Linked DNA regions of Drosophila melanogaster. Changing the gene in region 1 together with any one later gene gives a genetic interaction. Each region holds a gene or a part of one and is shown in the gene's direction. Other genes may lie near its edges. The genes, in order: Dfd, hh, rpr and cnc.

Evidence for each region.
Region 2: of Dfd (region 1) and hh, changing one enhances a phenotype caused by changing the other (phenotypic enhancement), as found in Drosophila melanogaster (one study listed by BioGRID).
Region 3: of Dfd (region 1) and rpr, changing one suppresses a phenotype caused by changing the other (phenotypic suppression), as found in Drosophila melanogaster (one study listed by BioGRID).
Region 4: of Dfd (region 1) and cnc, changing one enhances a phenotype caused by changing the other (phenotypic enhancement), as found in Drosophila melanogaster (2 studies listed by BioGRID).

Annotation. Positions count from the first base shown.
Region 1 is NT_033777.3:6,787,932-6,796,348, forward strand, and holds the start of Dfd (deformed), read left to right. Parts: upstream 1-3,904; 5' UTR 3,905-4,393; coding exon 4,394-5,180; intron 5,181-5,565; coding exon 5,566-5,666; intron 5,667-5,731; coding exon 5,732-5,909; intron 5,910-8,417. UniProt on the Drosophila melanogaster protein: Sequence-specific transcription factor which is part of a developmental regulatory system that provides cells with specific positional identities on the anterior-posterior axis. Homeotic protein controlling Drosophila head development.
Region 2 is NT_033777.3:23,136,472-23,145,165, reverse strand, and holds the start of hh (hedgehog), read left to right. Parts: upstream 1-3,259; 5' UTR 3,260-3,644; coding exon 3,645-4,124; intron 4,125-8,694.
Region 3 is NT_037436.4:18,395,304-18,402,074, reverse strand, and holds rpr (reaper), read left to right. Parts: upstream 1-3,639; 5' UTR 3,640-3,839; coding exon 3,840-4,037; 3' UTR 4,038-4,540; downstream 4,541-6,771. UniProt on the Drosophila melanogaster protein: Activator of apoptosis, as well as grim and hid, that acts on the effector Dredd.
Region 4 is NT_033777.3:23,216,400-23,224,924, reverse strand, and holds the start of cnc (cap-n-collar), read left to right. Parts: upstream 1-2,963; 5' UTR 2,964-3,079; exon of another isoform or gene 3,080-3,163; intron 3,164-4,028; exon of another isoform or gene 4,029-4,281; 5' UTR 4,282-4,508; intron 4,509-5,675; 5' UTR 5,676-6,017; coding exon 6,018-7,046; intron 7,047-8,525. UniProt on the Drosophila melanogaster protein: Plays a role in posterior cephalic patterning. Probable subunit of a heterodimeric regulatory protein involved in the control of head morphogenesis.

The DNA of each region.
Region 1 (8,417 bases):
TGACTTTAATGACTATAAAAGTCAAAACTGGCTTTAATTCTGAGAGACACACACTCTAGAGGCGTTCAGTAAGCTAGTCAGTCAATCATTAATCACTCAATCAATCATTTGGCAAACGATTCCTGGCAGCCTTCATTGTCCTCTTGTTTTCGCTGGAAGAACCTCCAGCTTTTCACTCCGTCTCGAGCTAATCAACATCCCTGAATCCCCGGACCCATTCCTTATCCCCAGAGTTCCCCTGGTTAGGCTGAATCTACGTCGACTTGTCAACATGTCGTTAACACAATTTCCATACCAGATTGATTGGAATGCCAGAATCTGGCTGTCTATGTGGAGTCAATGGGTGGGTCATGGGCAGCAAAAAGTAGGGAAAAAGCTATCGCCTTTTCGAAAAAGTAAGCTTAAAATAATTTTAAAATTACAAGTTTTTTTTTTTTAAATTAAGTGTACTTAGTAGATTCAGTTTGGTTAAAACAAAAGAAAACTTTAATCGAGTGTCTCGACAAAAAGGTTTTGGTTACTTAGATAAAGTAAAGGAATGGAGATAATACCAATTTTTTGGTATAAAGCTTGATATAAGCTCAATTTGCGATTTAAAGAAAATATCCTTTTAAAATTAAATATTGTTTCGTCAAAAATCGATTCGAAAAATCGAATCTACAATTATTTTAAAACAACTATAGCTGCGTTAGAGTCACTATCATTTATTTTTTGTCATATATTTTATAATATCACAAAATGTAACGGACAAGAAAACTGACTTTACAAAATCGACCTCAACTAGCTTTAGTTTAGCTTTAAAAAAGGGGGCCCTAAAAATCAAACAAATTACATTGAATTTATACCAACATAAATAAGACATAATTAAGATCTTAAGATAATTAGGATATATATTATACAATATAAGGACTGACTTTGGTTTTAGTGATGTTTCACATTACAGACTGCTTCAGACTATTTCCTATATAAAATAATCAAATTACAACACTCTGCAGTGGTATCAAACACGCTGGGCGTCTTGGCGTTGCCAAAGTTTAAAAACAAACTTGGGCAGCATGTTTTTTTTATGTGTTGCTAAAATTTCCATGTTCCTTCATTGGGTTAAAGCTTTAACATACAAAAATTACAAAATAACTTCAAAAAGTTTTAAGAATTGAAAGTTATTCCTAATTTTTCTAAATATACAAATTGTTTTAAGGTCTCTTGTGCCATTCCAATGATTAGCATTTACATAATTGCAAATATTAGTGAACTTATCAGTTGTTGTGGATACCACCCATTTTGCATAACATTATTCGATCGCCGTAGAGTGCTTTTTAATTTTATATCACAAAGTTTTGATGGCTGGCTTAAAGAAGCGAGCTGAAAACAAAGAAAGTCCATACTCAAAGCATGGTGGCTCTCTATATGTATTCGCATTGGTGGTCGTAATGTGCCTCAGTGGATGTGGATGCGACATCATTAATCACGTTTCAGTGTGTTGCCTCGTGCAGCAAGTGAACTTCCTTCTGCCGCCGCCTGACAGTCGCAACTGATTGCTGGATCTGAATTGGGATTTGGACTCAAATGCCCCGGACAAAGAGCAAGCAATAGCAACAAACACCCACTGTCCCCCAACCGAGCCATCCTCGTTGTACCACAACCCATCCTCCCTGCTGGCTCAGGGAGCCCTCATCCCTGCGCAAGCTGGGACTTTCCCAAACCTCCCACATCGTGCTTCCATCCACCTAAGGAGCTACGTCAGAACTGAGAAAATTCGATGTAGCAGCCGCTAATGCAACTGAGTTTTAAAGGTCCTCAAGCAGCAGCCATTCAGGAGTGTAATATGCTAAGCATGGAATCTAAATTTGGTACTATCTTTAAAAATTTTAAATACATAAGAAATTAAATAACAGTTTTCTGATTTTAAATTTTCGAGAAATATAATAATGTAATTTAAAAGCAATTATATTTTTGGATTTGGACCAAAGTTATTTGTAAACAAATATGCGTAATGAATCACACAGTAAAATTAGTAAACATGGAACTTCCATTAATTAACACTAGCTGGTCAATTAATTCGAACACTTTAACGTGGAATGAAGACCTAAACCAACATTTACTCCTATGAGTCTGGCCGACGGACCACAGACTAAATTTAAGTTTTATAAACTTAACTAGCCTAATGACGTTTTGATGGTGACCATCAAAATCGAATCAGTTGGAAGTCGATTAATTAGTGGCCATGCCCCTATACCGCTCACATATGGAACTGGTGAAGGAGGTGGCACAGCACGTGGACCTGATTGTAAGGGGGTTAAGATATTTTTGGTGGGTTTACCGGAGGTCCAATTATTCGGCAATTAGCCAGAGTCACTTTCAGAAACACACTCCAGAAGTGTGACACGAATTTATGCTCAATTTAACTTTTATTTGAAGTGAGTTAGGGCAGCTGGCTCTATAGGGTCAGCAGATTTCAAACTTATTAAAATATATATCACAAAAATTTAAAATCTGTTGAATTCATTAAGCGAAATAATCAAAAGTTTGTATGATATTACCTATAAATAAATTGTTAATATTCCGCATTGCTCGAAGTACGAATTTAAAAGTACAAGCCATATTTTCTTTTACCCACATTATGGATTGTTATGAATCAGTCTAAATATTTACTAAAAACAATATTAAAGCATTAAATATCCAACCTTCTCGATGTGCATTATACAACAATCATTCTATTGATTTTCCACGTTTCGCTTGCTCCATTTGAATATGTGCCCGTCATCGCCATAACAACAACATCGGAGGAAAAATCACGGTAGTAATGACAACAATAATAACAGCCTTAGCCCCAGCCAGACCACAACAATAATCACAGAGGAGAACAAAGTGATATTCGTTGGTTGTTCAATTGAAATTGTTGCAAGTCAGCTCGGACTCTCCAACTCGGTAGCTGAATTCAGACGAAGAAATCGGCATCCAATAGTACCGTCCCCTCTTTACGATCAATACTGTTGTTACCCACGCGTTCTCTGCATCGTTCCTACAGAATCCATTTATGAAAGTGGAAAATAAATGGTGTGCTCCATATCCACACTTACGTCTTGTCCGGGATCGATGAAAGCCTTCTGAAAATGGGCGGAGTTTCTTGGGTCCAGACAACTTTTTCGTCGAGTTCAATTTTCGAGCGTGCGCCATGACTTTGAAGGTACCAGCACACTCACAGCAAAAGTACAACCAAAATAGTAAGTCTGAGGGAAGAACAGTCGAGGGTAGGTAAGTAGGTGTGCTAATGAGCTAAACAGTGCTGTTTGAGATATAAATATAACATTGAATCAATTCAGAAATCCTATTTCTCTATGTAGACAATTGCGTTTTTAATTTTCTATTCGATTTACTGTCATTTCAATTTATTAATCCTTGGAAAGTAAAATAAGCTTATTTCGTAAAAAAATAAATAAGACGTTACTAAAATATAAAAAAAATATATACACTGTACAGTAAAAGTAAAATTATATTTTAAAGTTTTAATTAATGGCTTTTTATTTTTTTTTTTTAAGAATACTTCTTTGAACTAGTTCAATATTGTATGCCTTGACTGTTCACGCAACTCAAAATGGGTGTGACCAAAGATCTGGCCATCCCGCTTTAACCACAATGCTCCCTCTCAGTCGCGCTTGCGAGAGAACTATGGTCAGTGGTGGAAAATGGCGTACGAGGCGAAGGGTGAGAAAAGGTGAACAGACATGGCTGCTACATATGAATGGCTTTATTTGTGCGCGTGTGTGGGCCGTCCTTCGATTGCTTCGGCAGTGAAAACCCGTTTTGATGGCAATGGCGGTGAGAGAGAGCGAGCGAGAGCACAAGCAAACAAGAGCGAAGAGTGGCGAAACAGGTTCGCTCGCACGGAGAGTTATCGCCAGCGAGCATAACAAAAAATCGGCTCGAATGGGACGGTTCGTGTTCGCAGCGCACTCGTAAGACCGAAACGTCCGACTTTTCTCCCTGTGTGGGATTGAAATTCGTTGTAAAAACGTTTTTTATAACCGGAAAATAACACCATAATCAAGTTTCTCAGAATTCCAAGGCCCCACGGCTTTTAAAAGTGACAAAAAAGTGCAAACAAAGTATAATCAAAACAATAAAAGTGAAAATTATGAAGACAACGGGAGCCTTCTAACCCCTTTGTTTAGTTAAAAATATTAAAAAGAATACGAAATTTATTTTAACCAACACAATCTTAAAAGTAATTACTACTTGCAAAAGCAGCGCCTTTAATCAATAGTTAATGTACTAAAAGCAAAAGGTTCGGAGTATGTGCAATCCAAGTGATAGTGCCCAAGAAAAAATCGAATAACAAAGTAATAACCAGGAAAACGCATCCGGTGAACCCCGATCCAACAGACCTTCCGTCATGAGCTCTTTTCTCATGGGTTATCCGCATGCACCACATCATGTCCAGAGTCCCATGTCCATGGGCAATGGCTTGGACCCAAAGTTTCCGCCGTTGGCCGATGACTATCATCACTACAATGGACACTATTCGATGACCGCATCTACGGGTCATATGAGTGGTGCCGTCGGCGGTGGTGCAGGTGTTGGGTCTGTCGGAGGTGGTGGAGCAGGTGGGATGACTGGTCATCCGCATTCCATGCACCCGGCGGACATGGTCAGTGACTATATGGCGCATCACCACAATCCGCACAGCCACTCCCATTCGCACACCCACTCACTACCGCACCACCATAGCAACAGTGCAATATCTGGACACCACCAGGCATCCGCCGGCGGTTACAGTTCCAATTATGCCAATGCCACTCCGCCCTCACATCCGCACTCGCATCCACACGCCCATCCGCACCAGAGCCTCGGCTATTACGTCCACCACGCCCCCGAATTCATATCCGCAGGAGCGGTGCACTCCGATCCCACGAACGGATACGGACCGGCGGCAAACGTTCCAAATACGAGCAATGGCGGTGGTGGCGGAGGAAGTGGCGCAGTGCTCGGAGGTGGCGCAGTGGGTGGATCGGCAAATGGATATTACGGCGGGTACGGTGGGGGTTATGGGACGGCGAACGGAAGTGTGGGCAGCACCCACTCCCAAGGACACTCGCCGCACTCCCAGATGATGGATCTGCCCCTTCAGTGCAGCTCCACGGAACCACCGACGAACACGGCGCTGGGACTGCAGGAATTAGGTGAGTCCATACTAATAGAATTTCTGTTGTCTCTTGGAATCCGTTGAGATTTGATAGGAGGATATACTTAGTACTATTTCAATAATCTGAAGATTATCAATCGATCCTTATATTAAATATATATTTATATTTATATTTATATAATTATTTTTTTTATTTATATATCAATTCCATAGCAAAGTCATTTTACATTCGTATATCCAAACCTTTTAAAATGTCTAGGGAGCAGATTGAGAAAAACACTTAAAATAAGCCCACAAGATTGTTATGCCGCATAGTAATATTAAAAAAGATCTAATATTTTGTACATATATAAGCCCTTCAATTCGATTTTAGCTACTCTAATTACACTGTACCAAACTAAAGTGACTTCCATTCCATGCAGGCCTAAAACTAGAAAAACGCATAGAAGAAGCTGTACCTGCCGGACAACAACTGCAAGAGCTAGGGATGCGATTGCGGTGTGATGATATGGGATCCGAAAACGTAAGTACTTGCAGCAGATGTGCCAAGAGAGAATGCGTAATCGAGGCCTTGATTGACTTGTTTAGGACGATATGTCAGAGGAGGATCGGCTCATGCTGGATCGATCTCCAGACGAGCTGGGCTCCAACGACAACGACGACGACCTCGGGGACTCAGACAGCGATGAGGATCTGATGGCGGAGACGACCGATGGCGAACGGATCATCTACCCCTGGATGAAGAAGATCCATGTGGCGGGAGTTGGTAAGTTGAAAGTTTCTCTTTATCTCCTGCTCTCCCCTTCGCGCCCATGTCGTGTCCCATTTTTCGGGGTATGCTAATTAAATTACTTAGCTGCCAACACCCACTTGATTCACTGACAGGCCCCTGTAATGTTCGTTCCTGGGCGAAACCCAAAATGAAAATAAACAATCTAAAAGCCAAAGACACCAGCCAACCGAGTAACTTAAAAAAGAAAACTGCGACTCCAAGCTCATTAATCAAAATCAAGAGTGCCACGCCTTGCGTCGAGGGGCGAACCGTGTTCACCAAACGACAAGTTCCTGTACATACTACTCCTATATAATATAATATAATGCACATAACGTTAAGTGAGTCCCACTCGCTGCAATCAGCACTTTAAGAGGCTCCTGGTTATTAGGCCTCTTCAGAGGTTCTTTCAGCACTTGAACTGACATAAAATCAACTTGGACTGCTGAATGGTACGGTGCCAATTGATACATCATAAAAAGTCATCCTGGGAATGTAGTATAGAGCTGCATATATATGTAGTTTTTTTTTTTAGGCAATTGAAACATTTTTGTCTAGGAAGAAACAATCGTTAAATTAAACCTCGAAGATATTTTAACGAACACTCATTCTCATTTCAATGTTCTTCTGAAAAATTGTATGTATCCATTCATATGCTTAGCCCCCAGAAAATAATTTCCAGGCTCTCTGAATTATACACAGTAATTTTCTAAGGCCTACAATGAAAGCTTTTTCGACTCATTCTTGGCACAAAAACTGAATGCAACTTGGACATGGAGAACAGGTTTCTTGCCTGGTTTCATTCACCAGATCCAGAGACCGACTGAATGGGCTCAGTTGAGTTGACCTGGCAGAAATAATTACTAATTAATTGTCACCCCCCAAACGGGGAATTCATTCAGCCATGTTTCGAGTGTGTTACCAACAACATCTGACGGCCAACTGTAGATTGTCGTCGCTTATTGTTTTAATAAAACCAAAATAGGGATGCCACGGGGCGGCAAGTAGGTGACGAATGCGTTTCCCAGAGGATCGGATGGAGGTCTGAAGCTACTGATAGATTGCTTTTTAATTAGCACAGCACAGTACACAGGGATACTCCAGTTCGACCATAACCTTGACCCAAATGGGTAATTATAACGTTTCGCTTAACGCCACTCCGACTCGCTCATTGTCAAATGCCTCATCGGTTCATCGGGTTCCCAGTACCCACTCCCGATTTACTTGACTGTGGAAATTTGTCGTTTCACTGAAAAAAATATAGTACATAATTCAAAGTTGGCTTCAAACTAAAGGGTTTTTAAATAATTTCTAATTTTTAATAATCCAATTAAACATGTTAACATGATGAAATTTGGCTTTACAGTAGGAACCGAGGGTCATATAAAAGCAATGGCTTAACTATATTATTAATATATACCATTACACATTTATTGTGTTCGTACCGGTTTCTAAGATGCTATTTCTAATATTGGGACATTTAAAATAAAACAACAAAGCCCGCATTTGATTTTCTTTATTGTGGAAAGTTTTTCTTAGTGTCAGCATCAAAAATCAAACCCAAAAACGAAATATCGAAGTTGTGCGGCGCGCAGGGAGACAGGGAAACGATCGCTCGGGGGCATATTTGACACAGTCGCAAGGTACACCATACCAACTTATCTTCGGGCTCATGCTCGGATTCCGATTCCAAGCCCCCGCCCCTCCATCGGTAGGGTATAACTCCGACTGAGTGACGGATGGTCCGTGTCATTTGATGTTAATGTTGTGACATTTATCATGAGCGCACGACCACGAGAACAAGACGGGGCTTGATTATCGCCAGTGCATCATCTTATCCAGCGTCTTGGCATCCGTCTCCTTCTCCGTCTCGTTGTGCCCCAAAACGCAGACCCGTGACCCCGGGTTCCCGCCGGTGTCATGTTATTCCCTTTACAAATGACTTACACTCGCTTAGCACTTGCCCGAAACTAAGGCCCAAACTATGAATGCCGCTGATGTGGCGTGTGGTCTCTTGCCGAATTTAATTTGCTTTGGCCCTGCGGCGGCCTAAAACTTGTTTCAAACTTGTGCCTCCGTCGAATGAGAGAAGCAGAGCTAGGTGTGAATCGCATTTGGAGAGCAATTTGTGGATTATTTAATAGGTGTCATTAAAAGTGTTGAAAGGTTGTGAAAAATTAATGGAATCGGGCTGCAGTCAGGTTGCAGTTGAAACTCTTAAGTTTGATGTGATGAACGAAAATAAACAGAGCGCTTATATTAATAATCGAATCTATTTGATTAGATAATTTATATCGCCTTAAGTAAGTGTATTACATTGGACAAATCCAAATACAATTACAAATTTATGCAACAACTGGAAAGTAAACATATATTGGTAAAGTCCACGAACTGTTTTATGGTTTCTTAGACTGCGCTGGTAATGTTATGTTTAAATATGTTGTTACACAATACTTTAATGAAATTAGACCATAAACTTATTTTGTTGACCACATGCTAATG
Region 2 (8,694 bases), about 16 Mb from region 1:
ATGGCCATTATTATTTGTTAATTATGTGGCCGCTCATGGTTCTCTCTAATGCCAGAGCCGCGCGACTTGTGCAGCCAAAACAAAAGACTTTGGCAACAAACTTGCCAGCAGCCGCAGCTAGCCCAGTGATCATAAAGCACCTCTAAAATTCAATGAACCCCAAGCGAGAGCGGCATAGTTGGGGAGTCACAATCGAAATTGGCTTTTAGATACTCTATATAACAAAAGTTTACTTTGCTTTTCAGTAACGAAACCACTAACCGTTTACTTGTTATTTCATTGGGTCACCTGCGCTTCCTTTGAAATTAACATAAAATACTTGCAGCCAAGCTGGTCGTTTTATATTTTAAATTAAAAAGTTACAATATGGCATTTACCCCTTTCATTCACCCCAAATCACATTACATAAGCCACATACCCACACCACGGGGAAGCGCATTAAAAAAGAAACAAAAATTCAAGTTTCATATCGAAGTTTTATGATCGAAACACCAACGAAAAGTAAGAGAACAAAAAGAGCAAATCAGCCGCAACCCATGGCGTTGGTGGGAATGGTGGGATCCAAGCCGAAAATCAGCCCCAGACCAGCAGGAAGGGATCAACGAGGACGGCGGAGGTAGATGTGGAGATGGAGATGGAGGTGATCCGGGCGAGGCAGCAGCAGCCATGTTAACAACTTCCATTAAAAGAAATTAAAAGCAGACGGAGACGCCGTTGGATGCGGACGCGCCATGGCGCACAGAAAATGGCGTTCCATCTGCTCTTTGGCATCTTGCCCATGGATTCCATGCCGAGTTGAATCAAAGGAGCTGCTTGCTGGGCTCTCGAGCATTCTAGTTGGCCAGCGAATGGTCTGAATATTTCCGGTATGTCTATTTGGAGGATCTAGCACACGGCAAAAATATTAATCTTAACTTGGTAGATGAGTAATTCAAGTGTCACATCTTTTCGTTGATCATATAGTTTCTCAACATCAAATTTCGAAGAATGGTAATTGTATTCATTTTTTTTTTTAATGTTTTGACATTAAGAACTGCTTTTTTACATTTTTCACCGTGCAGCATTACAGGTTGCCATTAAAATTCAATTTCGACTTATAGCTGTTGTCCCATTAATATTCACATAAATCAAAGCTGGACCAAATCTAATTACAGAAACTAATCTGCGGCTTTTTATCTCGAAGGGCCTGGAAAGGCATTTTTTGTTAGTTTATTTATTTAGTGTTCTTTTTTTTTTGTTTTAACTCTTTTCTGTATTTTTTGTGAGCCGTTTCGGCTAAGAGCGCGATCTATATGATCGTGATTATGAGGACCGCTGGCCGTCTCGCTTGCTCCACGGTCTGCGATGCCATTTATTCATGCTCATTAAGTGCTGGAGCGATTGTTGTTTGCCCATGGGCCCGGGATGGTCTTCGCATCTGTATCTGGCTTGTTCACGGTGTGTTGTGTGTTCATTCACAAATGAGCGCCTTAAGCAGCTCCGCCCCACAGATACAGATACAGATACAGATGCGGAGGCCCAAAGACACATTCGAAACTCACACAGATACACACAGCGACGAACGTAATGAGTTCGGTGCGCACACAAAGAAGGCAGAAATTTATGTGGCAGCCACATAGACTCTCGCACACACACTCGAATGCCCGATGGCCCAGCATCCAAGACTCGTATATTCCATACCCCCTTCCATTTCAGCTTCTTCATCTTTAATTTGGTTCCGTGTATCTTGTTGATGGCGTTTTGCCTTCTCTTATATCTTTTGCCGCCACGACCAGCTATTGTATTTCTCCTCTTTCGATTCGTTTTATTTTTTTTCTTCGATTCATTTCGTTTTTTGTCGAAATTATTATGCTATGCCTTGCATTCCAGAGCGTTACCAAAAAAAAAAAAAATGCTATGCCCCCCCATGGAATCCGTTACATGAGCAGGTGCACCTTGGCCCTTGGTTCTACCCCGTTGGAAAGTGACAATTTCTTGGGCACACATTGACGGGCGTATTCCACAATTCGCGCTTGCCAAGTGACAGTGCAAATAGACCTGGTGCAACCGCAAAAAAATAAATAAGGTCTGGAAAAAGAGCCAAAACAAAAGATTAGCGCTTGCCACAGATCCAAGTTCTGAAAGTGCGAAAAAGCTAAAAAGTTAAATTGGAGATTTCCCAGTTGTGGGGAATTTTATATTAGCCAAAGTCAACAGAGATAAAACTGGAAATTTATTGATTTCCAGAGTGCGGCATCAATCCGCAACTTAGTTATTTGCTGTGCATAAATATAAGGTACCTAATTGCAAATTGTATTTGCCAAAATCGTTATCGGTTTTTGCAATATATATAGACATATTTGCGATTATTGACATGGCGTTGAACGGAACCTCTGGCGGAGAAGGAAATTGTTAAATTGACCAGTAATTTGTAGGTCCTAAGGCGATATCTAATCGGAACATGACCACTACCTGAGGGGCATATGAATGACTCACTGGGTGACATAAGCTCGGAGCCTTCGATGATCATAAAGTACTTTAGTTTTAAGCACTTTTTCCGTTCCTTGAAGACTGGCAAACGGAAGCAGCATTGAACCCATATGTACTCCACATATCATACCATATACAATATACATATATATGTATGTATATATATAAGGCTGCCCAGGAGTCACACAATACACAAAAAACCGGAACATTATTAATTTACAAGCAATAAAGCGAAACGAACAACAAAACGAAGAAAGGCAACGGAAAAAAGTGAACAATGGCCTGCGATGGAGGAGTTGCAGGGCCAGAAGCGGCTAACAAGCCACAAGACTCGAGTCGAGTCGAGTCCGAGTAGTGCAAGTGTTAAGAGAAATTGCAGTTGCAGTCGAGGATGCTGCAGCTCTTCTGCGCCAGCAACGCACACTATCACACATCCAATTGGCAACAGGCACACACTTTCATCCATGGCCATAATGGACCGCAGCACACTATGCCAATGCCATCCAACATCTGTTGCCAACATTGCTTGTACATAAGAGCCGAAGACTCAGGCACTAACACATGCAAACCAGTCTTGTGAGTATGCTGCATCATCTGGTTGTCCCGCTTCCACTTCCCTTGCGCATAAGGCAGCATAAAAATGAACACCACAGCCGATCGAACGTCGAGTGGCATACGCATACAATCACAACGCGGAATGAACTCGAGGCGATAGTGTGTGTGTGCGTGTGTGTTTGTGTGAGCTAAAAGGCCTAGGGTTCTTGAAAGCACCCTCGTCGTACTCGTACTTATACTCGCATTCGTATTCGCTGCCGTACTCGTACTCGCACTCGAACACTCTGCGCGCACGATACTCCGCTCGGAAATGTCATTTGTCAATCACAGTGCGAGCGCAACGGTTGTCCGAACCGAGAGCTAACTGCCAGTTCAGCGGAGAACAGTTAAGACCGTAGTTAAGTCAGTTAGGACCTGCGATTTCGCCGACTCAAGTATTTCGATTTAGCCAGTTTAAATCCAAATAATACCATAAATCTGAATAACAAACGTGTCGCCAAATAAGCGTGTCTGTGTGCCAAAAGTGAAGTGCTAAATAACCAAAAAAATAAATAAAAAAAATTAAAGGAGATACAAAATCCAATCAAGAGAAACAGCAAACAACGAGTCTTAGATAAATCATGGATAACCACAGCTCAGTGCCTTGGGCCAGTGCCGCCAGTGTCACCTGTCTCTCCCTGGATGCCAAATGCCACAGTTCCAGTTCCAGTTCCAGCTCCAAATCCGCAGCGAGCTCCATCTCCGCAATCCCGCAAGAAGAAACGCAAACGATGCGCCACATTGCGCATACGCAGCGTTGCCTCAGCAGGCTGACCTCTCTGGTGGCCCTGCTGCTGATCGTCTTGCCGATGGTCTTTAGCCCGGCTCACAGCTGCGGTCCTGGCCGAGGATTGGGTCGTCATAGGGCGCGCAACCTGTATCCGCTGGTCCTCAAGCAGACAATTCCCAATCTATCCGAGTACACGAACAGCGCCTCCGGACCTCTGGAGGGTGTGATCCGTCGGGACTCGCCCAAATTCAAGGACCTCGTGCCCAACTACAACAGGGACATCCTTTTCCGCGACGAGGAAGGCACCGGAGCGGATCGCTTGATGAGCAAGGTAAGGAAAACCCTCAAACACCGTAAGCTAGTAACAAAATTTGTAATACATCATTGGGAAAGTTTCGCTTATCGGAATCATTGTGACAAAGTGACTTAAAAATTATTTGTAAAAACCGAAATATTGACTTATTAATCACGATTAATCAGAAATTACTTAACATTTAGTATTGTTAGCAACACAAATGAAGTGAAAACCCAGTCTTACGCCAAATAAATGACTAATTCTAGGAAAAAATGTGAGATAACTCTACCAAACGGAACTTGTAATGCTTTAATAGTACACTTAATATTTGGTCTAGGTATTATTTTGTGATAAAAGTAAGCCTACTTTGATATAGGAACACAATGAAATGCCTGTTAAATCTGAGGTATGGAGGTCAAACACACCATTTAGATGAGATTTTATTGCTGATATTGTTCCGAATTCGTCTTCTATATCAGACAGCTGGGTTCCGATTTGCGGCTAGGCTAATTCCGTGCTTATTGCGCACTGCACTCACATTTTGCCACCCGTCGTGGTCCGTAAATTCAATTGTCAAATTAGCGATCGCTTATCGCTCGCGCTGTTTTATAGCCCGTATCTAGCGATCGCCCGATGGCACGAGATTGTGCCACTCGGTTCCCATTGATAAACGCTACGTGGCGGAAAAGTGCCCAATCATTGATCGAGCATTGGCTATTTCACCAACTTTATGGTGGCGATGGCTGCCATAAAACTGGGCTGAAATATAGTATTAGTTTTGAGCATTGGCCATTTATATGATTAATTATGCATCTTATCGCCGCACTGCACTTGTTTCGCAAGTGCAAAAAAACAGGAAGCCCGATACTCGACGGCTGAACGGTAGATAGCGCCTGAATTCCATCGAACTAAGCCATAAAGCTGCAAAGCGTCCCGAAATCCAAACAAACCGAGCGAACGCGTTCAACAACCTCGAGCCCAATCGATCCCCGGGTCATCATTGCAAATACATAGTTTACTCAACATTGTGTGTACGCTTCGCAAATGCGTTTTCGATTTCGCGCTGAACAACAAACAGGGTATCGAATGCGGGAGATTACAAGTCCCGGTATTTATCAGGTTTTACTCAGCCAAAACCACCGCCCACCGCCCACCGCCCACCCTGTCCGCGCCCCAAAAGTGGAGGCACGCGAGCATTTGCCGCTTATCACCGGCGATTGTCTGATAAGCGGACTGCAGCCAAGTAGTTCGTTTGCCAATACACGGTTACTATCCCCCCAGATAGTCACCCTATATTTGCCAACATGTGTAGCTACATGCTGGCACTGAAAGAAATTGGGTTCGCTTGGCATAATACTATATGCTTGCCACTTTATGGTTTATGCTAAAAGAGGTATATGATGGTTTTTATGTGTGAAATAAAATGTGAAAATTAGTTTAGGTGCAAGTTATACGTTATACGTTATACGTTGCTAGTTGCGCTATATCGGTGCCAGAACAAAATGTGTGCTAAGATACCAGCTAAGGCGAAGAACAGCAGTATCTTATCGCCATAAAAAAAAAGGGGCGGGGGTAGTGAAAGTGGAGTGGGTGGCGGTGGGATGACCACCCAGTTGGTGGGGGAGCGGTGGTTGAGTTTCAAAGTGCGAAACAGCTAAAACAAGTGTTCAATTCAAGCACCATGCGACAACATTTCCAATTAGCCAGCAGTTAGTGGGGTGGTTGCGTTGCGGCCAGAAGTCGGCTTAGCACAGTCAAGACCCCCTAAGAGGGCCGACATTGAAGTTGCTGATATATATAATCGGCACGCTTCCCACCAGCTTATCTTCGTGTTACTTTAATGAAATTTTAAGTGTCGATGTGTAAAAATAGCCTTGTTATTGATTAGCGCCATAAACGAGCTATTGGGCTTTTATGGCGGACTTCCAGTTTCCTTGGACGATTTGGTGCTATTGAACAACAAACTAATAATCAGAATTGTGGGAAGACAGATTACGCCTGCCAACCGACTAATATAGTTGATTTAAAGGGTTTAGTATCGCCCACACAAGTGTTACAATGACTTTCGATTTGTTGATTTATTAGTCAGTGGTTAGTGTTTCGCAAAAACGACTTAGATCTTTAAAAATCAGATTTTACTGTACTGTAAAGTTAAATCGTATTATCGAACCAGTTGTTCGCCTGCTAGAGTTTCACTTGAAAACCAATTCCAAATTGCATTTGGCAACTGCCACGCGCCCATCGGGGGATTCTAAATGGTTGCAGCCATTTCAGATGTTACCTTGAATTTGATATGCAATCAAAAGGTATCGCAGCCTTTCCAGAAACTGGCGAACAATTAACAGTTGCTCGCACGGCAGCACAAACGCAGTGACACACCGAAGGCCAAGGTCCTTCGGGCGATTGACTAAACGGCCAAGGACACTCGGCGAGCATAAAAATCCTGTTGTTCACGGGACAAATATTTACAACGGCAACTGTTCCGCTACCGAAGTCGTATACATATATCCAGTGACATTGAAATCTTTTGCCATTCCTGCAAGGAGCTGCAAAGAGTACCGTGGAGTGCCAGCAGAGCGCAACTAAAACGCATTTTATGTGGATTTGGATCTGGCTATCAGACCGAATGACTTACTGGCCGCTGTGCGTGAATTTCAGCTGCTAAACAATTCGTTGTGGCCATTTAAAAGGCTCGAAAGTCGGACTGCTAGCTGCGTGGCCCTGACTGTGGGTGTGTTGCACTTCCCTCCGCCGGTTGCATAAACAAATTGCGAAATTTCAGCAGTCGCCATGCAATGCAGCTACTCCTAACCGAAACGAACAAATGCATCGTAAAGTACTGGAGCTTATGACAAGTCATTGGCTCAGGTAATTACCGGCGAATGTGTCTAGGGCAACACTTCTCTTCAGACCTTTTCAGCGCTGAACTGTTGTATCTGCGGTATCTGAAGTTGAATCTTGAATGCCACGGGATTAGACGAGCAGCAGAGCAGCAGAGCAGCAGAAACCGCAGCGGACAGATGGATATGGATGTGGACAAAAGAATGCGTCAAAAGCCGCAGCATAAGTTCTAAAATTTCATAAATTGTAGCAACAATGGGGCTGAGGGCAAAGCCAATGGGTAATCCGATATGATTATTGACATGCATGCAGCACTGCCAGTCCTCCAGACTCCATACGCCAGCTCCTCACTCCCTGATCTTCCAGACATGCACATCACCATCAAATCAACTCCACTCAAATCAAATCAAAGTAAGCCCTCAGCCGAGCCATTCTAATAGAGCATTATGACTCAAAATTGATCCTATTATGACATAAAAAAAAAAAAAATAACTAAAACCTAAGAGAAAGAACAGAAATCGCTGGGTGGGATGATGTCAGAGCTTCAGTTTCATTTTCCCTTTGCCAAAAAAACAAAGGAACTCAAATCAAATCACGTCAAATGCTGCGATAAGCAAACATCAGCCAATTTCGTGGGAACATTCCTGCGGCGAACAAAGTAATCAAACTTATCAAACAAACATCAGTCAGGCAAAGTGGACAAATCGTCTCTTTCAAAAAAAGAGCCCCCCCAATATGAACCCCATATATGTTGTATATGTATCGCCGATGCGGATTCGCACTGTTTATTTGTTTGTTTTGCTTTTGTGCGAGATGCTTTTATATTATTATTATTAATCAATTTGATACTTTTACGAGGGCACTCAGGCGCGAATGTTCAAGGATTTGTTGCCCCAAAATGCCATCGATATTTGCCTTTTTGGATCTCTGGCTTTTGCTTTATTTGCATAAAACTTTTATGAACTTGCGCCGGGAGAGAATATGGAAGATCGCGATCAGAGATCGCGTCGCGGCTATCACATTACTGCTGGGCGAGTGACTCACATTTCACATGGCTCCTCTCCTGCTCTGCATCCATTCCTGCAAGTCATCCAAGATCCAGGGGATCCGGGGATCGAACGGAAGACCCCAAGGCAGCCGCCACCCCCTCGCCTACCCGCTGTCCGTTGCTCCATCGGTGCCAGTGTGCGGCTCATAACTCATCATCAAAGTTAATCACACATCAGGGATTATGGCGCTTATCATTTAAGACCCGGCCCGAACTCGGCTCTTACCTGACTCTTGGCTACTCCAACTGCCAGCTTCAAGCTCCAAGATCGAGCTCCAAATGACTTTTGCTGATCGCCGGGGGGACATTAAATGTGGCAGGCAGGTGGGGCAGCGGGCAATAGGCCACAGCTGAGATTTAATTTACGATTTCTGCAAATTAATAGCATTTAATTAATAACAATAAAATGACGCCTTCCCCTTATGGACATTTATTTGACGCGTGATTTACGAGCATTTGTAATGCGTTTGGGTTTTGTTTTTTTTTGTTTGTGGCGAGTGGATTTAAGGTCTAGTAAATGGAAAATTTTAATTTGCATTTTTACAGTGGGAAATTCAATTACTTGCGAAACTTGGCTTATCTACCCGTTGACTTTAACCACTATACCATCTTTCGAAGTGGTAAAAATTCAATTAGCCGCGATACAGCACCCTTAATCCCCCATTAATCCAATAAAGGTTTCAACTTCTTTATGCTCTGCCATTTATAATGGAAGCA
Region 3 (6,771 bases), on another chromosome or scaffold:
AAACGAAGCCGCAGCCGAAAAAGATACCCAAACACCAAAGTGTGAGAAATTGAGAGTTTTCGAGATTGAAAACAGTGCGGGAGCAACAAAGAGATGACAATATTCTGTTCGAGAACGTTGCGCAATTCTTGGAATATTATTAAGCATTGGCTGGGGGCGGGGGGAGCAACCTGACTGAGAGGAAACTTTAAGAATGAGTGATGATTTCGGCCCAATTATTTTATTACTGCATATAAGGATAGAGGAAGGAGGTTCCAATCCTGCAACTTTACTCCAACGGTTTTCGTTTAATATTTAAATAATGGGTAATGCAGGGAATATATAGGAAAATTTAAAATATAGGTCTAAAATAAATTGTAATGTAAAAGCTATCAATTTATCCACTGAATATAACATAAATGATCCAATAGTAGAATTACAAATGAAATGGAACGAGAGAAAGCTGAAACTACTGCACTAAATTGTTATTATACGGTTGGAACTAATAGCTAACAATTTAATAATGAACAACCTGTAGATTTGGTTGAAGTACGGATTATACGATGAGTATTGTGCATGACACAGCAGTTTGATCATAAAGGTACAAAGAGATGATTGCCAATCTAGTATTTAATTCTTTTCTTTTATTTGCCAAGAATGATTGTAGATACCCTATAAAACGGTACAATAAAATAAAAGCAAAAATTAGGGGAATTGCGCAAGTTATCGCATTGTTGATATTACTCATTAGCATTCGTGAATGTTACGAATGTTTTGTATATGTACGTACAATGTGTGATATGTAAGACATACCGATTTGAGGCAGTCCCAGACAAAGACAGAGACACGTCACAAGCTGCGGAGAGGAGTAAGAAAAAAAAACTGATGAAATTATCGCTAAAAATTTGCTTTCATTTGGGAATATCACGTTGGATGCCTCATGAAATGTAAAGTGAATTTCTGGAATCCCAATCAGAAACAGGATCGGCAAACTTCCGGGTAGATCGAAAATTCGATTGACACACTTCCCAGGAATGAATATCGTATCATGTGGGTCATTTAACATGTAGATTGAAAACTCAATCGAAGAAACATAATCCAATTTGACAAACTCAATAGGCCACAAGACACAAGTTAAATTGAAAGTCAGGCAGTTATCTATGCAAATGATATATGGGTTATTAAACAAGTCGAGATTCGACTTTGCCTGTTGCACCCCAACCGGAGGCATGCATTATTTGAATAAAAATGACAATAATTACCCGCATTATCCCTTAAGAAAATACAAGTACCCAAAATCGTAGATAACTATCTGTTACTTTGAAAATATCGCCTCATTGGGCAATTAGAGATTTAGATCAGAATCTTAAGGAAAGAAAAACTGAATGAAGTCTGTGATAAAGGCCTTGAGAGGATAATCATCGAACTAATTGACATTCGACAGCCTCAATTATGACTGATGCGCAAATTACCGCAGGTTACCGCGAAGGACATACATTTAAGGGATAACGTTAGCCATGTTTCGGTTAACTTAAGGCCCTTTCTGGCTCCACCCTTCTTGGCAATGATTCAGCTACATAAAAAAGGTCCCAACCTAAACTCCGCCCCAGAAAACGAAAGCAGACCCAAAACATAAATTTCCAACTTGAACCACATTGGTCGTCCCCCAAAACGTGCGAAAGAGAGGGAATGCCCATTTTTCGGCTTCCTCTTTTTGCCCGCTGGAGCAGAAAACGCTGTTAGAACGTAAGCCACGCCCAACTGTCCCGGATTTATATATGTTGTATGTGTGTGTTGACGCGAACCCGGAAAGAAAAGACTCATGAAAAAATAACTATAGAGTCGAATGGTTCTGCTGTGCGACTAGGACGGCAGTGTGAAAGAAAGAGAACGAGCACGCCCGGCCGAGGAAAGTAGAGTAGTTCCTTCAACAATAGACCTAGACATCAGAGCTGTGGAGAGGTGGTCGCTATAGACGATGACGCAGAACATCCCCCAAAGTGATGGCTATTCTCTATCACAGTGGAAACACTTGAGACGCACGTCGTAAGATTCGGCTGTTTGCCTGTGTGTGGGTACGGTATTACGGTACTACGGCTTTGTGGGTGGAGTTTGAATGGAACTTAAAACTCATCGCGGTTCTTTGGGTGGGGTAAAAGATTTTAGAATTATGCAGGTGGAGTTTCAAGAGCTAATTTTCTATTACATATATATATGAAATTTATTTAAACATCATAACGAAATTAAGAACAAAACAATAGTATGTTTATGGGTAATCCGACTTAGATACGATGAAAAATGATGAAATATGTATTTACGTCATTAAAGAGAAAGTTTCAGTTGAGATTTAAAATGTAAACGACCTATATATAATAATGCAGAATATATATTATTAAAGATAATTTCAATAAGCTTCCTATATGTTGGAAGAATACATTGTTCGGATATCATATCCATCAGGAAGGCAATTAATAATACTTTAAGCCGCAGGGAAATTTTCGTGTATGATTTCCAACGAAAACATTCATATCGTATCATATCATATCCGTCTGGTTCCGCTCTAATGAAAATGAATAAAATTGCACACGAAATATAATGGGACGAGCCCATTGTTGTCAATATACTGTATATGGCCTTTAATTTATGACATTGTCATAATTCTTAGTCGGAAGCTTCGGATGATTGTGTAAACACTTGTAGAGCGCGAGATACTGATAAAGAGGGATCTATCTAGATATGGCAGGTGGGCTGGTCCATGGAAAAGAGAGAAAATAATTCAAGAAATGGAACGGAACTCTTCCTTGCCCACTTGCCCATATTTCAAGTGAATCCGCCTCCCACTTGTTATAATACCCTTACAAGAAGCTATTCTGCTTAATTATGTAAATAGTTTGTACTTTAAATGTTGTACTATTAATAGCATCAATGTGTCCAACCTAAAAAATATTGGTTTTATTTTTCCATCATTTTTAGTTGGAATTTTCTTATTAATTACAATTCAAGAATTTAATCATATTATAGAAAATATACTGGCGGTAATAGCTAAAAGGACTTTTTGCTGATTGACATAGATGAAAATAAATATTTTTAATATTTAAGAAATGAAATTCGAAGGATTAATATGAAACCGGCTAGATGGTTGTACTTGGCTGTTATCAGGTATCCGGCTTAGTTTAGTTGCTAATCACTAATGGGTAGCTAGTGTAAATAATGTTAATCTTAGAGGGTATTCCAAACTTTAGTCGTGAAGCAACTCTTGTATGTCTTTCTCTGTCGAACTCCTTGATGAGAAACGATTGTCATGCCCCGACGATTTAATACAATTAATATGCTAACTGTACTTCTCGCCGCACACAGTTACAACAAAGGCGCTGCCACCAACCTGGCAACAACAACACAACCTCATACAAAAACACGCTTGGCAACAGGCGCAAGGTGGCCCCGCCCCCGCTCACGATGAAAAGTAGTACTTTTTTGGGAGCTGCGAATGAGACGATGTCAACAGAAATACCAAAACAAAAAAACCCCAGCCAGAGAGCCGAAGAGCGAAGAAGGCCAAAATGAGCAGCCACCACCAGAAAAACAGAGAACAAGGCGGCGTGAGAGAACCAGGTATAAATAGCCTCGGAGCACTACTCAATATATTCAGTTGAAAAGCAACCATCGCAGCGAACGCATCTCGAAAAAATCATTGAATAAGAGAGACACCAGAACAAAGTGAACGAACTCGAAAATACGAAAGAAAAGTGTGTGCGCCAGCAACAAAGAACTAACTCGATAAATATTCATTGTGCAGAAGAGAAAGTTATTGAGTCACTACCAGTTGTGTAATTCCGAACGAGAAGAAAGATAAACCAACAATGGCAGTGGCATTCTACATACCCGATCAGGCGACTCTGTTGCGGGAGGCGGAGCAGAAGGAGCAGCAGATCCTTCGCTTGCGGGAGTCACAGTGGAGATTCCTGGCCACCGTCGTCCTGGAAACCCTGCGCCAGTACACTTCATGTCATCCGAAGACCGGAAGAAAGTCCGGCAAATATCGCAAGCCATCGCAATGAGGATTCGAGTAACTAACAAATACGGGGAAAACCAATAGTCCAGTCCAAAATCCAGAGTACAAAGGAAATAAGCATGAGCCAACCCAAAACCCAAACACAGTCACCACTCATCAGCCGACGGCACTCGATTTCTACTGCAGTCAAGGACACAGAGCCACAACACCCACCCAATTTTAGTTTACTCATCAAAGCGATTGTGATAATGGTTTTGTTTCTACAAAAAAGCGGAGGAAAAATTTGAAAAAATAACGTTTTTATAAAGTCCCCAATTTTTTACAAAAATGTTTCAATGATATAAATCAACTTTTTTAGAAATAATTTACTCTTAAAGCCTATTTAAATGAATTACTACTGTAATAGTTTGTAAGTTCTTTTGTAAGACGAGTTTTTCTAAGTTTTTTTTAAGAAGAAACCCCAGAAAAAAACGAAGATGAGTCGAAGTTGGCTAAAAATTGCATCAATTTTTTGTCAAACAAAAAGTCAATAAAACAAAAACAAAAACTAAAAAAATTGTTGGTTTTTCATTTACTTAAATATTTTCAGATTACCATTTATAAGATTTAGATACAAAAAGCGAAGAAAGCCTAAGATGATGTCTCGAAAAACTGAGTTTGGAACAAGCACATTTTTTATTTCATTTCGCCGACGGTAAAAGGAACTTTCTAGAAGGCTGTTTAATAATCAGTGAAATTATCGGTGGTTGTGAAAATTATTTTACATGTGTTTGGTTAGGAAACGTTAAAGATTTTTTTTTGTTTTGAAAAAGTTTTTCATTTGATTTCCGGCGTTCGGTGACAGAGTCCGCTTTGAAATATATCTTAATAAAATATTAAGATTGATATTGCCGGAAATAATAATAATAATAATAATTATAATAATAATAATAATTTAGTTATAATAATATTAATGCAAGCTAATTTCTTGAATTATTGTAGAACGAATATAATTATAAATCGGTATTACATATAATAGAATCTTAACCACATTATTTTTAGTTTTGATATAAACTATTTGTTGTAGAAAGTTAAACCACGTTTTTATTAGTCACTTTCCAGACAATAGATTTATTTAAACTTCATTGTTCTTTAGTTTTCGATATCTTATCGATATGTATATTTAGACATGGCTAGATCAACTCCAAAAACTGGAATATTGTTAAGATCAATCACATCAATTGAATTAGGATATGTATGAATATTATAATTCTATATAATAATACCACTTCTACCATTAGATATTTTATTTTTAATATAAAAAAATGAATTCCCAATTTCTTGGAATGTGCAAAGTTAAGGGAGAATGAGTCTTTTAGTCCAACTTTTCCACTCTGAGAAAAACTTTTCAGCCACTCCGACAACATTGTTCAACACAAACGGCAGCAAGAAAACACACAAAGAAAATTCAATTATGCAAAAAGGAAATACAAAAATATTTGCCAAGATTTTTCGATGCAGAAACTTTGTAACAAGAGAGAGCAGGCGGGGGAGTTGCCCCTACGGCAGTCTTGACATCTTTTCCCCTCTATAATTTCAAAAAATTAGGTGCTAACAAAACAATTTGCATTTTTAAGTTAATTTTGGCAAGCGCCAAATGGCAGGGAAAAATTCGATGTGCAATTCTTGAGGGTCTCGTCATCAGCTCGAAGGATATGACTCTGTGTTCCGCGAACGCGGCCAGGACTTTTAATTAAACTTTTGCACTTATGCAGCTGCCATATCCTTGCACATCCTGCAGTTCAATTCACTTTGATTGCCCGAAAAAAGTTAATAAAAGTTGGCAAAGCTCGCGCAAAAAGAAATCAGAAATTTCACTTTGCCAAACAAAACTAATTAACGTTAAACAGATAAAACTTTTGCCCACGCCAGCCGGAGTGGCATATGAAAAATAATTAACACAAGTTTATGATTATGTTTGAAGCTGCGCCAAACGTCGAGCGATTTGTAAGCGAAGTGCTGTAAAAATCACAGACGAAAAGCATTTAATCCCTAGCAGCAAATTCTTCCAAACTTTTATTTCTGTCTCTGCTGTTAATTAGTTCGAAAAGTGTTTCTAATAATGCCAAAAAGATGCAAAAAATACAATGGAGCCCGCTTAGAGTTAAGTGAACTCGAATCAAAACAAAACTTTATCCATAAATTTCCAAGAACTATTTTCGGTCAAGAGGTGCAGCCCTTTTTTTATGTTTGGGGTCTTAGCCTTGACTGATCTTTATCCGTTTGTGGTTCCATCGCTCTGCTTACCTTCCACATAATTGTCTGGCATGTTAGCCAATTTTTCGTTCCATACTTTTTGTTTGAATAGAACAGGTAAAAGGTAGGAAGGAACACAAATAGTCCGATTCTGCGGATACTCGTGCAGAAATTAATGAAGACCCAAAAAAAAGGGTCCACTGGCAAATTCCCAAACCAAATCGAAAATTTAACAGTCCGAAGTTGGGATGCCTTGTTGAAAGACGGCGGATCATTGCCATTTTGTTCATATTCGCTTTATTTCAAGTAAACATTTGGAATCTTTCTGCGTTTTCAAATATTGTTGGGGCTTCCTTTACTTTTCATTTCTCGTGACTAGGAAACCCAAGACTATACTCTTTGGCAATCTTTGTGGTTAATTCTTTCAATATCCCTTCAAGTTTTTATGACAGAAAGCGATGGAATATAATTAAATCAAATCGAATCGAATCAGCCATGAACTAATGGCACGCAGACTAATGTCATTAGGTCGGACAAAGTAGAAA
Region 4 (8,525 bases), about 16 Mb from region 1:
ATCTCGACTCGAACAGATTTGCAATGTTGACTTGGATTCGGGGAAAAAACCGTTCGATATTAACTAAGTTTGTATTGTGATTTCACTGTTTATAAATATGAATACCTGGACCAGAATGATTTGCATAATGAAATATGCTTAAGGTACTGCCCATATTATTTATCTTTGCGCAGGTGCACAGTACGAAATCTGATTACATGGATTGAAAATTTAGCAAAATCTTTAATGCGATGAATTCTCATAAGATCAAGTTTCCATTAATTGGCTTATAAGCGATAACAATCTCACTTGACAACCCATTTAAGCCAACACATTTTAAGTTGATTGATATTTGATTTTTTATAAACTCAATGACGTCTTCCTCAAAACATATATTTAAGCTCCGATTAAAGCATTTCGATGCCCAAAACTAGCAGTTCTAAAACGCACTTTGTATCTTACAACTTTCATTTCCAGTTTTATTTTAGCCAGACTGTTTTTGTTACCAACCACTGCTTTTGACCATTCTCTTTCCCCCACTTCTTTCAGTATCTTTCAGTATCTCATCTTCAAAAAAGTTAGTGCTCTGAGCCGTCGAATTGTATTCGACTTCAATTGTTTTTTACTTGCCATTGTAATTGTTGATTTTTTTCGCACATTTGGTTGAGTCATAGCAACAAACCGAAGATCACAGCTTTTTCGAATTGTTTACTTTGAGCATTATTCAAAGCGTCGTAATGGGATTCCCAGAACTCCTTAAATTGAGCCATAATACCCTTAAGCTGCGTATTGTTTAAACAATAATAAATACGATTTGATGGTTTGCCAACTTCTAGGTGGCCCAATAAAAAACGTATTTGTTTTGAATAGATAATAGATAGATAATATGCTCATATAGAGAAGCAGACCGTTAAAGGTCAAAATGATAGCTGTTATGAAAAAGAGCAAATAAATTATAATATTGATTAGTCTACACAATTAAGTACATTTCTTATAAATAGAAATGTCATTTAAAATTGCTAACACCATAGATTTTAATAGTTAAAGAAGAAAAGATTAACAAATAAGTACGAATCTTTTGACCAATTTCTATAAAGAACCTGTCGATTAAATTTATAGCAGGGACTCATGGCTGATTCCCAAAATTTAGAAGTGCGACCAATTTAATTTATTTTATGATTCATTTATTGTCCCAATCTAATCGAAAAATTCCCCCTGTGGAACATTGGCTGATGTAATTTGCATTCTTCCAAGGCAGGGCCCACTGTATTGTGTACAATGGAGAAATCCCTCTATGGTTACTGATACCTAATACTTTGTTCCCAAATCAATTGATAGATAATGAATGCCGTTTCCACGCGGTTATCTTTCTGGATTCTCGTGGGAGTTGATATTGTTGTTGGGCATCCACTGTACTTATCTACATTTGAATTTGTGTGAATGTGTGTAATTTTCTCAATAAATGGCAAATAAAACAAACCATTAGGTTGGCTATATCTCATTTTTGAATTCCACCCGTCGAAGTTCGCTTATCAGTTTTTATAGCTCATTTACAGTGAAAGTTCGATAAAGTTACTAGCAGGGAATTCGAAGAAATTAAAAATAAAATCACACGAGTATGGCTACTAAAATATATATGAATTTATTATATCTTTGATCTGTCACATTGATCAAAATGAGTAAAAACACATTTTCTTATACGCCGAAAACAAACTGTTTATATTTAATGTCGGAACAGAATTATTAAGTTCAAAACCACCATCCTAAAAAAAAGCCTAGTCAACCTAGTGACCCATCCTTATCTGTGTGTTCGCTTTCATTCCAGTTGACATATTGACTCATCACCATTTGTGCCAGCTGATAAGCAATAATGATCGACTTAGAGGATCTGCCTCGGCTGCAATCCTTGTCCCCGGCGAAGGACATCGAATATACCTACCACCAGACCCAATTGCAGCTGAATCCGAAGAAGAAGGTCACCGTCCGGGTGCCCATTGGACCACCCTCGAAGTTGAGTAAGCTGATTAAGCCCACGGTGGCTTCCACGCCCGCTGTACTGGCCAAGCCAACGCCATCCATCACCCAATCGACGACGCCAGGTAACGCCAAGACCAACATTTGGAAAGGTGGCTTCCATTTTACCAATCTGGTAAGTATTGAAAGGCTTCGGTGTTAATTACTTTATCCAAATGCCAGCACAAATGTTCCCAGTTCAGAACGCAATATATCTATAAATTACCCCCATCAATCTAAATTAATTTTTATGAGCAGGTCTTTTAGATAGATTGATAGTCTTCTAGCTATATTTTGAATTACACGTTCTGAATAGTGTGGCTATCTGTTTTATTGAGCAAGTCTAATACAAATGTATCCATTTGTGATATCAATAGCTAACGGAAGTTATTGTTAAGATATTTGTATTTTTGCATGCATGTAGAATATCAATATCAATATCATGAAAAAAAATTATTTTAAATTAATATTAAGGAAATATAAAACTATATATATCCCTTTATTTTTAATTTTAATACAAATTTCAACTTTGTTATGTAGAACTAGTTAAAAAAATGACTAATGCAAATTAACTGAAAAATTTGCATGGACACGTGTCAAAAGCTTATAAGCTTACACCATATCTACATAAAATTGCAATAGCCACCATGTCTACATAAGTTACTCTTAGGGAAAATATAAATATGTTCTTTATATTCTTAAGATATTCTTTCTAAAAACTAAATCTAGAAATAAAAGGTAGGTAATAAAGATACATTTGTAACCGAAATCTACATTTCTAGCTCTCCTTTAAAAAGCTCTTTCTGTCACTGTTAGTTTAAGCTACATTTAACATTTCTGTTAAAAGCACAATGTATTATGGTGAGACCGCACTTGGCGGCCCCGAAAAAAACCGCAAAAGCACAAAACTCAACAAAATCGTCTGCAAAGAGCCTCAACTGGGCACACTTGATAAAAGCACCGCGCTGGACAGACGTTTTTTGCCTCAAATGTTTTGAGGCCGCAATCGAAAATCGCGACTGATTTCGACGGCGGAGAAATTGCCAAACGCGGCGTAACAAACAAAACACGTTTTCAAGCTCACCACGTAGGTACGGCGGTTGGCGAAAGAGAGTAGCAAAGCGGACGCGACAATAATTTGCCAAATAACAGTGAAAGAAGACGCGTAAAGGTGCGAAGTACACGCCGCTTAAATTGTGTGTGTGTGTGTGTGCGTGTCTGGCTGCGTGTGCTTGTGTGCCGGAACAACAAATGAAAAAGTTTCGGTTGTGCGTTTAAGAACTACAGTTGCGAAATGTTGCATGCCCCACTAAATAAGTGCAACTCATTGTGTGGTGGTGGTACTGTCGGTGGGGGTGGTGGGTTAAAGGCAATCAAAACAACAACGACCAACAGGCTAGCAACAACAGTTATTCAGCAATCGCCCCCTCTCGCTCTCGCGCTCAGTCTCCCTCTCTCGCTCCCTCTCCACCGCTCAGCTGACAGAATGCAATCGAGAAAAACATCGAGTTAGAAAGAATAGGGAACGAAAAGGAACTAGCAATTTGATAAATAATTTGTTGATGCAAAGTGCAGAGTGAATGTTGAAATGCTGCCGTTGCCGGTTATTCTCTGCTCATTCTCGAAGCTTCCATATTTCATTTTTCCTATTTGTTTTGCTCTCCGCGATTCTCAGCAAAAAATTAAATCGTTTTGCATTTAATTAATTGCATTAATTGTGGGCACAGACCGAATTGGAATTGGCAAGAAAAAACAGCAGTTGTATGCTTCAACGTGTGCGTGTCTTTTTTTTTGGTGTGTGAGTCAGAGAGAGACGAGAATCGGGCGATAAAAGAAAACAAAGAAATACAAAGCAATGTGGAGGCAAAACACATGCAAATATTAGGCAGTGTAAAAACAACAAACGAAGCGAAAATATTATTGTTTTAACCCTTGATGGACTTGACAATTTTTTGTACCTTAACGTAGTTAAATAATTTTACAGCTGTCTTGAAAATCTTAACATACAAATGACTTCAAATTCTAATTTGACGTAGGTCCAATATAGGGTTAACAAATAAGTGACGATTTCACCACGTAAAACGGCACCACCACCACACACACTCTCACACAAAAGTGCGTACCAGACGGCGAGAAAGAAGCACCAGGTGGCACATAATCAAATATCAATTGTTATTAATATTTAATGGCACTTGAATGCAAATTGTCTGCAGAAGAGAAAGTTCAAGGACGCAGACAAGCGAAATATATATTTAAAGTTGTTAAATAAATAAAACGCGTGTTTTCCAGCAATTAAAAGTAAAAATCGTAGAAAGTGAAACATAAACAAATAAGGTCTTGCAGAGCAAAAGAAAAGTGAACGGTAAACAATAAACCATTGTGTGTGCTGCAGGGAAGAAGAAGCAGCGAAGAGGAAAAGAAGATCAAGCAACGGCAACAACAACAAGGAGAACATTTACTGCGCCGCAGCTTTTTTACCGTTGTAGTCGGGTCTCATCATCCAAAAAAAATTTGAGGTGAGTGCACTGCAATACAGCCACAATCACACGCACACCCACACAAGAACCCTCTCTTGCACGCACATGCACACGTCATTTCCCTACCCCTCTCTTTCTCTCTCTCGCGCACATCTTTTCATTGAGAATTGAGCCAAATAAAGTTTGGATTTTTGTTAAAATGGCTTTAAACAAAGAAAGTTTATATCGAACCTTGAAAGAATTTTGCACACAATTTTTTCGTCCGTCCTTGAATCGGGTGCTTCACTTCGCATTGCGCACATTTCAAATGCTCGCGAGAGACCTTGAACAAGTTCAAGTTCAAAGCCATTTCGTCTGGGTCTGGGTCATTCCTTCCGCCTCACGCCCCCCTTTTTCGGGTGGGCGGTTGTCTGTTAACCTTGTTTAAGGGGGGGGGGGGTGTGTGTGTGGCTGGACAGGATGGGCATATTAAATGCGTTGTGGATATCAAACAGAATTCGGACAAAACAACAACCAAAGAAGGATACATGCATATATGTATTTATGTATTATACACACATATTTCGGAAAATTCGATTCTTGACCTGCTTAATTGTCTCTGAATATGAAATTAACTATGCTGAAATGCGCTAGGTCATCATCATAACAGCCTTTCTAGGCTATCCACTTTGGTTTGGTATGAAAACAAACTATGTGTTGTGTTTCTGTAGCAAAACCTTGTTAGTGTTTCTGCACATTTATAATTTCAAGTTTAAATAATAGAGATAAGGGATGTTTCCTTACGACAATCTTTCATTTATTTTAATATCTCTCGAAAGTATTACTTATGTACCTTAACTACATAATTGCGAACAGAAAAACATAATTGTGTTCGTTTTTGCTAAATAAATATGAATCCTAATATAATCGCGATGTGGAAATTAGATGTGTTTTTAATAAAAGACGTTACCGACCCGGAAGTTGAACTTTCTTTGGTGCACTTCCTCGTGCTTAGCAATTTATAAAATCGACTGGCAAACAAAACAAAGGCTGCACCACTCGAAACAAAAGCATTTTCATTTAACATTCAAACTGCATATATGGCCATGCGGCAATGTATGAATATTACACTACATATCTACATACTTGCATATGTACATATAGTTAGCAAATCGTTATGCTTACTAATTCCATTCTATTTGTTGTCACATCTTGATTTGCTTACAGAACAAAACCGAGGACAGCCATCAATTAAAAGCAAAGAGCATTGGAAAATCGGGGAGATAGGCCGTGGAAACTGCGAATTTTCAGCTTTTTGCGCAGATTTCGGAACGCCGAAGGAGGAGGAGGAGGAGGAGGCCGGAAGGCGGGGCAAGGCGACGTCATTGAACGCATAGATCCCGGACGACGCAGCCGTAGAGCTGTTGTCCGGGACGGAGAACAACAAGAACAACAGCAGCGGAGGAGGAGGAGGAGGAGGAGGAGGCGGCGGGCGGAGGTGGACTACGGACTACAAGAGTCACCCACGCACCCATTCGCTCACGTATCGAAACCTCTGAAAGCAACAAAATGATCTCAAACAAAAAATCGTACGCTATGAAAATGCTGCAGCTGGCTTTGGCCTTGAGTCTGCTGCATTATAATCCCGATTACCTGCTCCATCGCTGGGACTCGCAGCTGGAATTGGGCACCCATGGCGATGGATGGGAGCTGGAGATGCTGCGGACGGTACACCGCCTGGATATGGATCACAACCCGTATGGAAATCGTAAAGGACTGAGTCCCCGCATTGAGGATCTCCTAAACTTCGACGATCCTTCCTTGGGGGGAATGGCCAATGGCATAGGGGGCTGCAAGCTTCCGCCAAGATTCAACGGCAGCACTTTTGTAATGAATCTCCACAACACCACCGGGAATAGCAGTGTCCAGACGGCAGCTCTGCAGGATGTGCAGAGCACTAGTGCTGCCGCCACTGGCGGTACAATGGTGGTTGGTACTGGTGGTGCACCCACCTCGGGTGGTCAAACCAGTGGTTCTGCACTGGGTGAAATCCACATTGATACCGCCTCGCTGGACCCTGGAAATGCCAACCATTCGCCGCTGCATCCAACATCAGAATTGGACACTTTCCTCACGCCACATGCGCTGCAGGATCAGCGTTCCATTTGGGAACAGAATCTAGCGGATCTCTATGACTACAATGATTTGAGTCTGCAAACCAGTCCCTATGCAAATCTGCCTCTTAAGGATGGCCAGCCTCAGCCATCAAACAGTTCGCATCTGGATCTCAGCTTGGCGGCGCTTCTACATGGTTTCACCGGCGGCAGTGGAGCACCCCTCAGCACCGCCGCCCTCAATGATAGCACTCCACATCCCAGGAATCTGGGTAGTGTCACAAATAACTCGGCTGGAAGGAGCGATGATGGCGAGGAGAGTCTCTATTTGGGTCGACTGTTCGGAGAGGACGAGGATGAAGATTACGAGGGCGAGCTGATCGGTGGAGTGGCCAACGCCTGCGAGGTGGAGGGTCTGACCACCGATGAGCCCTTTGGCAGTAACTGCTTCGCCAACGAGGTGGAAATCGGAGATGACGAGGAGGTAACGCCAATACACTTGAAAAAAAAATGAATCAAAGTTTATTTTATACGCAGAGTGTCCAAATCAAAGGTGTGCTCTAGATGTAAGCTTTACATCTTGTTAACAGATTCAATTGACTGACGTTTTCTTCGAGTGTAGTAGTAAATGACTTTGATTTGACTGATTAGAAGTCACTCAAATGGCACCACCAGCAGACCTGTGCTTCGGTGTGTGCTTGTGCCCATTATCAAGCAGTGTTGTTATAAAAAAGAAAAAAGCATTTTGCATTGCTAATGAAGATTTGCGAACCCATCGCTTGACCCATTCCACAACCATAGTTCTCCCCTTGGCTGCCTCTCCATTTCTGACCGTTCAGCTTTCATTATAATTATAGTTTGTTAGTTTCCCCGCCGTCAATCGATATATTCAAATGTGGCTTTCTGTTTGGATTGGTCACCTTGCATGCGAGATACTTTTTCACCTTATCAACAGATAAGGGTTTCAACTTTGTTTACACATCAGCATGACTATTGTGTCACGGTTATCCACTCATACGCTGTCGATCTGTAAGATTGTAATTGTTATCTGTGGAGGGTTTCTAAAAGGGTTGATTCATCTAATTGGGAGATTAATAGAAATCAACAAAAGTTGATTTTTAGTTTAGTTTAGTTTGATTTATTTCTGATATGTTGCCGAAATCCCAAGTCGTAGCATTTTAAAGTTCTGATAACATGCGTTAATCTTTAATAAGTATTTTTCATAATACAATAATTATCTTTTGTTTGGCTAACATTTTTTTTAAACCGTGCGCAACAACTTTCACCATCTTTCGTGCCCAAAGTTTACATATTATATGCAAACACACAAAACAAGCGGCAATTAGGTCGTTAAACGCTTCGACTGCGCAAAAAACATTTTAACTGCGAAAAAATAAAACAAAGATGATAAATTCGAGTAATGTGTAAAGGGATTTTTGTCCCGAAATTGAATATTTAAATCAATAAGTTAATGGGCAATTTATTAAATTTTTAAATGGGCATTAACGAGTATCTGATAAATCAGATTTTAAATTCGGGATACTTTTTTCATTTAGGGGATAAAACATTTGTTAAATCGCTTTAATGGCAATCCAATCGCCATCTATGTGCATGCGACTTTATATAGATATGAATCAGATTGTTTGCGCTCGATTTGTATTTATTTTTAAAAATCGAATTGAATGTCGGCGACAAGTGCGCGGCGATTTCATTATTTGTTTTGTTTTTTTTTTTTGCACTCCGGTGTGTGCTGGTTGTGCGTTTTGCGTATTGCAATTTAAATATGCATAAATATTTATACTTGGCCTGGCCAAGAGCGACAGATCGGGGGAGATATGGCCGAGACAGGAGCGTGATGACTAACTCGCTGTTATTTTCGATATATTCAGGCAGCTCTTTGTTGTTGTTTGTTGCTCACTCGAGTTGCCTGCAATTAATTTGTTTGATTTTTTTCTTATTTTAT